Drosophila melanogaster: one gene and its partners. The main gene of each other region encodes a partner of the protein of the gene in region 3 in a complex. Each region holds a gene or a part of one and is shown on either strand. Other genes may lie near its edges.

Evidence for each region.
Region 1: Ada1-2 (region 3) and Saf6 share a complex: the UniProt entries of both Drosophila melanogaster proteins name them as parts of the spt-Ada-Gcn5 acetyltransferase (SAGA) complex.
Region 2: Ada1-2 (region 3) and Spt7 share a complex: the UniProt entries of both Drosophila melanogaster proteins name them as parts of the spt-Ada-Gcn5 acetyltransferase (SAGA) complex.

What each region holds. Positions count from the first base shown.
Region 1 is NT_033779.5:814,167-817,917, forward strand, and holds the start of Saf6 (SAGA factor-like TAF6), read right to left. Parts: upstream 1,785-3,751; 5' UTR 1,666-1,784; coding exon 1,309-1,665; intron 1,256-1,308; coding exon 1,109-1,255; intron 1,056-1,108; coding exon 77-1,055; intron 19-76; coding exon 1-18. Other genes in the region: Pex12 (peroxin 12), read left to right, coding at 1,917-2,810; CG15880 (uncharacterized protein), read right to left, coding at 2,880-3,016, 3,078-3,732. UniProt on the Drosophila melanogaster protein: Component of the transcription regulatory complex SAGA, a multiprotein complex that activates transcription by remodeling chromatin and mediating histone acetylation and deubiquitination. The SAGA complex predominantly acetylates histone H3.
Region 2 is NC_004354.4:17,848,327-17,852,077, reverse strand, and holds Spt7 (Spt7), read right to left. Parts: upstream 1,619-3,751; 5' UTR 1,538-1,618; coding exon 1,395-1,537; intron 1,334-1,394; coding exon 1,231-1,333; intron 1,171-1,230; coding exon 337-1,170; 3' UTR 191-336; downstream 1-190. Other genes in the region: CG32554 (uncharacterized protein), read left to right, coding at 1-190; CG15814 (uncharacterized protein), read left to right, coding at 2,123-2,170, 2,268-2,302, 2,368-2,664, 2,733-2,961, 3,024-3,259, 3,317-3,437. UniProt on the Drosophila melanogaster protein: Component of the transcription regulatory complex SAGA, a multiprotein complex that activates transcription by remodeling chromatin and mediating histone acetylation and deubiquitination. The SAGA complex predominantly acetylates histone H3.
Region 3 is NT_033779.5:11,991,105-11,994,658, reverse strand, and holds Ada1-2 (transcriptional adaptor 1-2), read right to left. Parts: upstream 1,758-3,554; 5' UTR 1,667-1,757; coding exon 867-1,666; intron 803-866; coding exon 676-802; 3' UTR 605-675; downstream 1-604. Other genes in the region: CG18789 (uncharacterized protein), read left to right, coding at 1-593; escl, read right to left, coding at 2,185-3,084, 3,140-3,329, 3,388-3,554. UniProt on the Drosophila melanogaster protein: Component of the transcription regulatory complex SAGA, a multiprotein complex that activates transcription by remodeling chromatin and mediating histone acetylation and deubiquitination. The SAGA complex predominantly acetylates histone H3.

The DNA of each region.
Region 1 (3,751 bases), about 11 Mb from region 3:
TACTGATATACCTAAAGTCTTAATTAAGAAATCCAAAGATAAGGATCCAGGCTAACAAATTGTAAGGATGATTTACCTCTCTCACTGCTGACGTGGCGACCTTCGAAGAATCTCGCTAGGCGTCTCTTGATCAAAAACAGGCACTCTGCATGTAGGTAACCACTTTGAGATGCCAGCTGTCCTATAGTTTCACACAGCTCGTCCACCAGGCCATTGCCGACTGGACAGGCAAAGTAGCTGGATAGGTGTTCCGCCTCCGGCTGAGGATTCAATTCCTCCTCCTCCGATTGCAGCTTGTAGATTGTGTGTTCCATGGTGCTCTCACCCGGAAACATCTGGGGTTCTTGCTCCTGTTTCTCTACTCCCATGACCTCCGGATTTTCCTGGGTTTCCGGATTATGGCACTGGTCTGGCTCAACCTTTAGTTCTTCTTCAAACTCCATTTTGATGGAGGTGGTTTGTCCCGGATCTGGGTCGACGTGTGGAGCTTTGATAGTTTCGTAAGGTGCCATTAGCTGGCTGACCAGTACCTCGGCCAGGTTGAAGTACTCCGGCCGGCAGGCATTGTGATTAGCAGTGGCGTTGTAGTTGCATGCTCGGAGCAGTCGCCAGCATCGCTGGCTCAAATGGTCCTGCTGCTTAAAGGCTAGCAACTGGACCATCTTACTCACAATCACTCGGTAGATAGATCCCATCAGGGGTGTCTGAAAAGCATGGCAGACGGCGGCCGTCTGGGATTTGCTGTCCGCAAAAAGGGCTGCCGTCACAAGACTCTGGACACACTGTCTTAGTTGGTCCATGTGCTTATCCTCCACTGGGCAGATGCTCTGAAAGTCTGCATCATCAGGTGTGCACAGATTGACTTCCTTCTGAAACTCCGCGCTCAGCTCGAAGATCTTATCCGAGTGAAAGTAAAAACTGCCGTCATAGTCGATCCGGTCCCAGTCGCTGTCCATCGCACCCAGCATAGGCGGCACATCGGCATCTTTTAGCACTTCGTTCACCAGGTCGTATGTCACCACTCCGCCCGAGTGGCGCGAGTATATTTTGACATTCTGAGAGATCAAGAGGTTAGAGGGATTAAAGAGGTGTATTACGGTCGACTTACATTGATCAGCTCCCAGACTTTGTAGGAGGCATCTTCCGCCAAACGGGCGCACACATCCTGGGAGAGTTCCACATCGGTCTGGTCGTGCTGCTCCCAAAAGATCTTGATGCTGCGCGGATCGAAACCAGCATAGCTCTTCTGATGACCCTACAGTAAAGAGAGCTTGTACCATAAGAGGGCCCTGAGATTGGCATCCTTACCATTCGACTGGAGTTGCCAGAGGCTTCTGCGCCCGCGATGCCGCCTGCAAGTCCGTGCCCACCACTTCCTGCTACCGCAAATGAGGCGTCAAACAGATTGTAGTTACCCAGACTAGATGTTGGCGTGGTGGGCGTTGTCACCATGTTTAGGTGAGTGGGCGTGGCCGGCAGGCTGCCCACTGCAACGCCCCCGCTCACTGCGGATGCGATGGAGGATGATGCGGATGCCGACAGGGAATTCTTTCCAGTCAACTCCAATTTCGCCGACTTAGATCGCGACTTAGTGGACTTTTTGCTGACTTTGCTGTGCGATGACTTGTTCAGCTCGTCAGTATTGCTGGCGCCAGAGGTTTTCATCTTCTTGGTTTTGTATAATTCATAAATGTATATATTTTCAACAGTTGGTAAATAAACAACGAAGCTGCACCACAAAATAAACAAATCTTGCCAGATTATTAACCCAACTATCGATGGTGCCAACGACTTATCGATATATTGATGAGCACTCGACTGTTTTCAAGCCAAGCCCGATAACACCAGTACTGATAAGAATAACAACATAATTGGTATTCGAATTTAATTCCATTTATTTAAATGCTATAAACACAATGGCAGAAGCGGCAAATGTGCGCCAGAACCTTCAAAATGTGCCGTCGATCTTCGAAATTTCAGCGTCAGAGACGCTGGACAACCTGATTTACCCGGCACTGAGCAAGATATTCGACTACTTTGGACTACGCCTGGACTTTAAACTATGGGGGAGTTTGAGGATTCAGGAGGAGCTGTCGCCATTGCTGACTTGGCTGCTGCAGTACCTGTATCTGCGCAAGAGGGCCTCCTCTTTCGGTGAGAGCTTTTACGGATTGCAAAGGACGGTCACAACCACTGGGGATCTGCTGAACCGCAGGCAGCAGTTCGCCTCTGCCACACTGCTAACCTTCATGCCTTACGTGGAGCGGAAGCTAAGGACCAGGATCACCAGGCACGAGGACACCAGTCCCTGGGAGCAACGCCTTCTAAGCGCATTCCATGCTTTCCATGCCGCCAAGGCGGCGCACACATTCTTTTACCTCGTAAAGTACGCCTCAAACCACTCGCCCATCTTCAGATTGTTGGGGCTGACCCTTCGCTATCCCAGCGAACCTCCCAAAGAGGATCAGTGGACCTACGTGGTCCTAAAGATGCTGGAGGTCTTGGCCTTCTTCCTGCAGTTCGTCCAGTGGTGGTACTCCAACGACCAGCGGCGGAAAGTGGGTGGAACTCTGATAAATCCCGAAGCGATGCCGAGAAAGCAGCTGCCCAAGGAAGTGCAGCAGAGCCTTCCCCAGCGGGGAGAGTGCCCAGTCTGCCTGCTGTCCATCCAGACGCCCACTGCCTGCTCCGTTTCCGGCTACGTCTTTTGCTGGAAGTGCATCGTTAGCCACATGAAGGAGCACGGCACCTGCCCGGTCACCCACTATCCCATCAGTCTGGACGACCTGGTGCGCATCTACGAGACGTAACGTTAAGCATTCCTTTTATGTTTTTTGCTTGTTTTTGTTTAATACATTTTATAAGGAATTGGGAACTGTTTACATCTCGCTGAGGAAGAAACCCAAACGTTGGTCGTAACATATGTAGACGTGGTAGAAGTCAAAGTAGACCGTGCATAGATAGATAAAGAAGCACTCACAGGAGATGAACTCGCCCATACCGAATACGGAGTAGGCTGCAGAGGATCCGGGGATTAGAATTGTAGACATCCTTCCATTCGGTTAGGTTCTACTCACCCAAGGGAAAGCAAAACTTCTGGTGTATAAAGTAAAAAATCCACATGACCACCACCCAGACGTAGTAGGTGAGCACCAGACCGCTCTTCAACCGCAAGGAGAATTCCTCATGCAGCTGCCCAATCCTATCGCTCATATAGTACTTGGCGCACACAAAGGAACCTGCCATGTAAATGGCACACGATACGAATAGCGACAAGGCGATGGTTATGTGCAGCAATGAGTCGCCATCCTCTTGGGGGAAGGTGCCCCATAGCAGTACGCTGGAACTACTGACAGCCATAATGATGGCCATCAGGCAGCCGAAACCTCGGACCGGCCTGCGCAGATTCCTCCGATAGAATCGGAACTGCAGCCATGCACTGGCAATGAGAAATGGGAACTCCAGGTAGCAAGCCAGAGCCCACACTTTGTGCTGAGACTTGGCAGCCGCCGATGTGGAGGGAAAGATGTTGAAGGCATTACAGGTGGTATACGTGGTGGACTGGAAGTCCGTGGTGATGGCCATCACCAGGTTGTACACCATGCAGACGGGCAATTGCAGAAGCCCCAGTGCGAGAATCGGACCAACTGGGATGCGGAAATGCCGCCTCGCCTGCAAATCCTTGATGGAGCTGGGCAACAGCTTGGCTTGATCCTCCACAAAGTGCAGCATTTAAGAGCAGGTTAATCCT
Region 2 (3,751 bases), on a different chromosome or scaffold from region 3:
CAGGGACCTGCTGGCGTGGGCCCAGAAAAAGACGCGCCACGACAAAGTGTTCCAGTACAGAGCCAGCGATCCGAATGCAACCAAACTTGTGGCCATTGAACCCACCAACGAGTTCACCAAGCGGAGGCGACAAAACAACTGGAACGAGTCGAGGATTAGCAAAAAGATGAGCAATAAACAAAACACGTAATAAAAACTATTTAATTAGTACGTTTCCTTAGAGCTTAACTTAACTTGAGCCTAGAGATCTTAGTCGTTCTATAAAAAGTGTGAAACATTTGATTGCTAGAGATATCTCAGTGTGAGATAATGAAGTTATCCCCGCAATTTTAACAATTACGTTTCAAAAGTGGCGTGAAAGTTGCTAATCGTGGCCCCATTGCCATTTCCATTGCCGCCCGTGCTGCCATTGCCGCTCGTCCCCGTCATGTTGGAGGTATTGGACGATATCTGGCCATCGAGCAGGCCGTACAGCATCTGCTGGGAGCTGACTGTGCCACTGGAGCCCGTGCTACCGCCCAGATCCTGCAGCATATCGCCCATGGCCATGCCGCCTATGCTCTGGCTGCTGCCTGTGGCGCTGTTGTCCAGGATGTTGAGAAAGTCGTGGCCGTTGAACTCGTTGTGCTGCTTCTGCATGCTGCTCTGGCTCTCCTTCATCAGTTTGTCGTACTCCTGCAGTACGCTGTTGAACTCAGCGATCTCCGCGCGATTCCTGGCCAGCACCTTGTGCTTGTAGTAGTTGTGCACCTGGGTGAGCGAGGTGCCCGTTTGGGCGAAATGGGCGCGCTCCAGTGGGACCAGCTGCAGCACCGTGGAATTCTGCAGCCGCGGCTGACTGTCATAGTAGCCGCGATACTCGCCGATAAAGCTGCGCAGGAACTCCTCGGTGGCGTCCGTCAGCAGTTGCACCGCCGACTCGGAACAGTCGGTGAAGCCGGCCAGGCGCAGCATGCCGCACATCACCTTGCGCATCGCCTGGCGGCAAGCAGAGCTGGGGATCTCCGGATATGCCTCCGGATCCCCGCGAGAGTAGGCTGTGTCCACGGTTGGTGTGAACCAAATGGGCTTCTGAAACTTTTGGCTGCCCACCAGTTCGGCTGCGTTCTCCGGCGGAAAGTCCACTTCCGGTATCATTAGGCACGGATTCAAGAGGTAATTGGAACTTCCCTATGAATTCATTGGGTAAATTAGGTAAATACTACGGTTAAACAAGAACCAAGAACTTGCATTTTTGTTGGAGTACGTTTCAATGAGGGACTGCAGCACCTCGGTTTGCTTCATCACCTCGATGGTCTGGGTGACCAGCGCACTCCTCAGCTCCAACTTGTGGCTACATGGAATATATGGTTAGTTTACCGGCTGCGTTAAAGCTTTTCTTTAGATTTATTTACTGCTTTTCTTGCGGTTGCGGATCTCCGCGCTGGCGAATCTCGTCCAGCTTAAGTTTCTTGGCCGCCGTGGGCACGTATTTGTCCGGCGTCAGTTGACCGCCGTCATCCTCTGCGGGCAGCGAGCCCCAGTGCTCTGTTTGCATGTTTATTTCGCTTAAAAACCTACGTACAACATTTACTTAACAATATATTGTTGTTTACTTATCGGGCCCTAAAATAACATGGTTGGTTATCGGGACTATCGATAAGTTTGCTTGCGCTGGGAACGAAATACTCAACTCATTGAACCAAACAGCTGATTGTCGGTAAACATCGGCACGGCCTGCAGCGGCATCTGGCAACGTTGGCCTCGAACGTTTCGTTTTCGATAATCAGAAAGCGCTGTCGTAGCTAAAGTAAATAAAGGTTATGATAAAATAGCAACAATTTGGGAAAAACCCCATACTCAGGACAGCTGGTTCTAACAATCAGGTCGCGCTTGTATTTTTGTGGCTCACGTCACACATACATGTATTCGTTTTTTCGGCCGCTGTGACAAATGGCAACGCCACTGCAGCTGGACAAGCACACAGGCATAAAATGTAATTATTTGTTTTCGTTTCACGAATTTCAAAGGTAAAAACCGATCGCAATACGTGGTGGGCAAGATAACGCAGCGACGCAGACGACGAGTGGGACTGTCCGGCGGATTGGCGGCAGCGGGATACGGCGGATACAACGGCAATAAGATGCACCAGGAGCACATGGACCTGCATGAGCCCGTGGACTTGAACAAGGTGAGTCTTTTCTAATGGGAATCGAATAGGAAGCCCCACTCTACTGCCAAATTTTCCCTCTTCCCTGCAATTCCCTGCTAATGCGGATGTCCATCAGTCCCTGGACGAAATGACGCCGGAGGAGCGAATGCGGTAAGTGAAGTGGCCTTAGAAAATCCTTTAAATCATAACAAATTTTCGGCTATCCAATCGAACAGAGCGCAGCATCAACTGATGGTGGAGAAACATCGCGGCCACGATGCCATGCACTCCGAGATGGTGATCATTCTGTTCGTCACCCTGGTTATTGCCCAGATCATCCTGGTCGAGTGGAAGAAGCGGCACTACAGATCCTACGCTTTCGTCACCCTGCTGGCCATGTGGCTCATTCCGCTGATCATCTCCTGCAGCTTCGGCTGGCTGCGCTTCATAATCATCTGGCTGGTGTTCACCTGCATCACGGCACTGGTTATGCGACGGGCCATCAGCAAGCCCATCCAGGGCACAACGCCTAGGTGAGTCAACGTAGATAAGAACGGCGACCGACGAAGGCCAGATAATAACCCATAAAATCCAATTTCAGGCTGGTCTACAAGTGGTTCTACTTCATCTACAAGCTCAGCTATGGCCTTGGCCTGGTGGGCTATCTGGTGATCATAGCCGCCTTTCTGGGCATGAATTACATGTTCTCACAGCCACCAAACACATGGATGGATGTGGGCCTGATGTTCTGCTTCTACGGCCTGTACATCGGCGTCCTGGGGCGTGATATATCCGAGATATGTTCGGATAAGATGGCGGCAGCTATTGGCGTGAGTTGACCATTGGCCAGATACCCAGTTGGAATCTTCTAACCCTCCCGTTTGTCCCACAGTACTACACACCTCAGGGTATTCCAACACGACATCTTGATCAGAATGTCTGCGCAGTGTGTGGCAATCAGTTGCTGGTCTCGGAGAAGGAAGAGGGCGTCATTGAGAACACCTACAAGTTGTCTTGTAACCACGTATTCCACGAGTTCTGTATACGTGGTTGGTGCATTGTGGGCAAGAAGCAGACGTGTCCCTACTGCAAGGAAAAGGTCGATCTCCAGAAGATGTTCCGCAATCCGTAAGCCATTCAGAGCCATCCGTTTGACTGGCCTACTTAATATTGTTTCTCCTCTAGCTGGGAGAAGCCGCACGTTTTGTACGGTCGCCTGCTGGATTGGATTCGTTGGCTGGTGGCCTGGCAGCCGCTCATCTTTTTCATAGTACAAGGCATCAACTGGATGCTGGGACTGGAGTAGATCCTGATACCGGCACTAGCTTTCCTCGGCGTCTAGTCAAGCACACACACTTCGGATTAAGTCCTGCACATGAAACCACACGGAAAACACGACGATGGAGAAACAACGACAGACCAACCTGGAGGGGCTGCGAAACACCCGCACCACTAGTACCGTCGCCGTTCATTCCCCCGCTCCCCTCCACGACTCCATTACATGAACCTGAACCATGATGACGATGACGGATGAAAGATCTGTAGACGAATGCCATTGCCATCCAATCTGTTTGCGGGTTTCCAGTTCTGTGTGTGGTTTGCTTTTGGGCACCCAAATTT
Region 3 (3,554 bases):
TCTTTGGACAGCCACAGCAGCAACAGCTGCAGCCTGCTGCACAAGCTTTCCAAGGGGGCAACATTTTCGCCCAGGCGCAGGTTCAGGTGCAAGCTCAGCCAGTGAATCCTAATCCTTTCGGTGGTTTCCAACAGCAGCAGCAGCAACCACAGTCGACGGGAATCTTTGGCCAAGCCGCAAGCCAAAATATGGGCGGAATGTTTACTCAGGCTTCTCAGCAACTACAACAGCAGCAGCAGGCAGCTGCCTCCGGATTATTTGCTCAAGCAGCAGCATCTGCATTCCCTAATCAACAACAGATGCAGCAGCAGCAACAGATGCAGCAGCAGCAACAGATGCAACAGCAACAAATGCATCAGCAGCAGCAGATGCAACAGCAACAAATGCAGCAGCAGCAACAACAATTTCAAATGCAACAGCAACAGCAAATGATGCAGCAGCAGCAGCAGCAAGCTCAACCGACCAACGAAATCCAGTCCTCAGTTTACAGTCGCATGGAGGATCTCAACGAGCAGGAAATCGAAGCATTCAAGGCGGATCAATTTCTACCAGGTGCCTTGCCATTCAAACCGCCTCCACGGAATTTTTGCTGAACCAAACACTTAATGGTACACTAGCGTATAATGTATATATTTTTACAGAAGCTGATATAATAAAATAATTAGAACTTATAAGCTAATGCATCATCATATTGAGTCGTTCCATGTTTATAGAGTAGACGGCATGCGAGCCTATCAGGTTGCGATCCCGTAAGGCCAGTTGGCAGTCCTTGAGGGTGATTACTGTGCGTTCGGTGGGTTGGCTGAAAGAAACAAAACCTAAGTTTGTGTTTCACATGAAAATCTCATTATTATTCAGGAGCTTACACTTCTTCGCAGGCGGAGAGGAAGGTCACATCGTCGTTCTGTCGCCGCATAAAGTTGGCCGTATTCAGTTCCTTGTCCAGTTCCAGCGGCGTGTCGTCGACCTTCTGCCGGGTGACGGTGTTGCGCAGCGAAGGATCACGCAACGGAGCACCTACATCGTAGTAAAAGTTTCCCTCGCCGCTGGTCTTGTAGTGCTTTCGTTTCTTGATGATTGCCGATAGTAGATCCTTGAGCAGAACTTGCACGGCCATGGCAACGTACTCGGCGACATTGTCGTCCACGGAGACAAGTCCGATTTCCCAGGCACCGATCAGAAATCGTCCCATAATGAATCCCGCGTCGGGCAGGAAAAGTTCCTGCGCGCAGTACCGCTGCGACTGAAGCTGTTGCTGTTGCTGGTCCGACGGAATACCGATCGTGGTTGGCGGACGAATGATTTGCATGTTGTCCTCGGCTACAAAGTCCAGGACGTCGCTGAGCTCAAAATTAAGGCGTTCGGCGAAGGTGCGGGAACTTCTTTTGCGCCGTTTGCTTCGGTTGCCACTACTGCTGCTGGTCTGGACGGCCGGAGGATTCTCCAGGGGAGCAAAGGCGTCGATCTTGTTGAGCAGGGCGAGCAGGAACTGATTGTGCAGGTGCAGTTTGTCAGGTGTTAGGATTTTCCGCGACTCCGCATCGAATTCCTCCTTAGTCCAACGGCTCCGAAACCAATTCTTCATGTTGGCCCGGTAACGCTCCCAGTTGTCGCCCAGAGCCACCACTAGCGCCTCCTTGGTGGCCAGAACTCTGTCGGTAAGCATTTTAGTAATGGGAATAACAACTAAACAGGAAAATCCAACTGTTTGCGAATTGCTATATAAACAAATGAATGCAGCTGATTCGAGTGACCGTTCAAAGAACGGCTGAAAATACCAGATACATTTGAGATAAAAACCGTTATTTTTGAAGAACCCTTTAAAAAAATATTGGTTTTAATCTTTAGTGTTCACAGTTTTTATTGTGTACAAGTTAGTTAGTTAAAATATAAACATTAAAGATAGAGCCCACGCCATTCACACAACATAAGATGATAATATTTGCGAAGCTATTTGATCATTAAAAAAGTAATAGAATAGAATAAATATCTTGGTTAATGTTAAAAAATTTAACATAATTTAACATAAATTGTCAATACAATGAGTATTGTATATAAATGCTACGCATAATAACATACTTAATATTGAAGGTAAACATTACACTGAAAATAACTATGGTTACATAAATATGGTATCGGATTTAGAAGGATAAGGAAAATTCTTTTAGCCTAGAAACACTCATCCTAATTGACGCGATCCCATCGCCACACGGTGCTGTCGTCGCACACGCAAACTAAAATGGAACCGTCTTTGGAGAAGGAAGTCTGTCGGATGGTGGAGTTGCTTTTGGGATGAACCAGCTGGCTACACTTTGTTAAATTGGGATCATTGCAGTCCAATTCCCAGACAAATGTTGTGCCCAGTTGATTGCCCAAGGCCAGAATCTTTTGCCAGGCGTTGAAGGCGAAGCGTACGAACCAGATCTCGCACATCTTGTAGTCAAAGTGATGCAGCACCGTGGTGGCCGACTCCTGTGGCTTAATCTCATGCCACGATTCTGAAAGTTTGCCCGGCTTCCAGCAAACAATTGAGTTCTCGCAGGATTTCGAAAAGACAAAGTCGCCGAACCACTGAACGCAATCCACATAATTTCGATGTATATCCCTTGTCGAGAAGTCCGGAAAGTGCTCCTTGATCGTGGGAAACGGACCCGTATTCTTGTTGGGACTAAAACCAGAGCTCAGCTCGATGGCCTCTTTTATATCGGGCTTATCCAGTCGCCAGAGCTTCAGTGAGTGATCCATTCCACTGGACATGATGCGATCACCGCGCAAATCAAAGTCCACAGACAACACTTCGTCGCGGTGTCCTTCTACGCCGCCGAAAACCGCCACACACACGTCCGACTGAATGTTCCAAAGGCGCAGGGAGTGATCCTTGCTGCCGGACAGAAGTAACTGCGGTCTAGTCGGATGAAACTTCAGCTCGTTAATGGCGTGCCCGTGACCAATGTAGTTTTTGCTGCACTGGTGCTTAACCGGATTGAATATGCGAATGACGCCGCGGTAACCAGCCGCGGCAAGCACAGGATCGCCGGTCACAGAGTCGTAGGACCAAGCGCATGTGTAGAAACTTTCATCGGTCTAACGAGGGCGTAACGATGATGTATGTAAGTAATAGCATATGATGAGTACTTACATCTGGGTCTGCGTAGACTTGCAGCAGTCGAATGCCTTCGCAGGACTCCTGTCCGGTGCTCCTCTCGCACTCATAAATGGAAACCCGATCCTTGCCAACGGTGGCGAACACCTGCGGCTGGCCTCTGTCCAGGAACGGATTGAACTGCACTCCGAAGATCTGATGGTTGTGGTCCTCGCGGACATGGGAGCTGCAATGCATCCGGGATATAAACATTATGACTTATGTTCTGCCTGGAAAAATCACACCTATATTTGTACAAGGGCTGAACCATTTTGGGTGCCTTGATCCGCCGACACAGGCGGTTCAATTTTCGTGTATTTGGCGATTTGCTTCTGGTGGTGGTCGTAGTAGTGCTGAACAAACTGGCGGTGTCCTCCCGATCCACGGAATTAACTTCGTGCTCATCATCCGG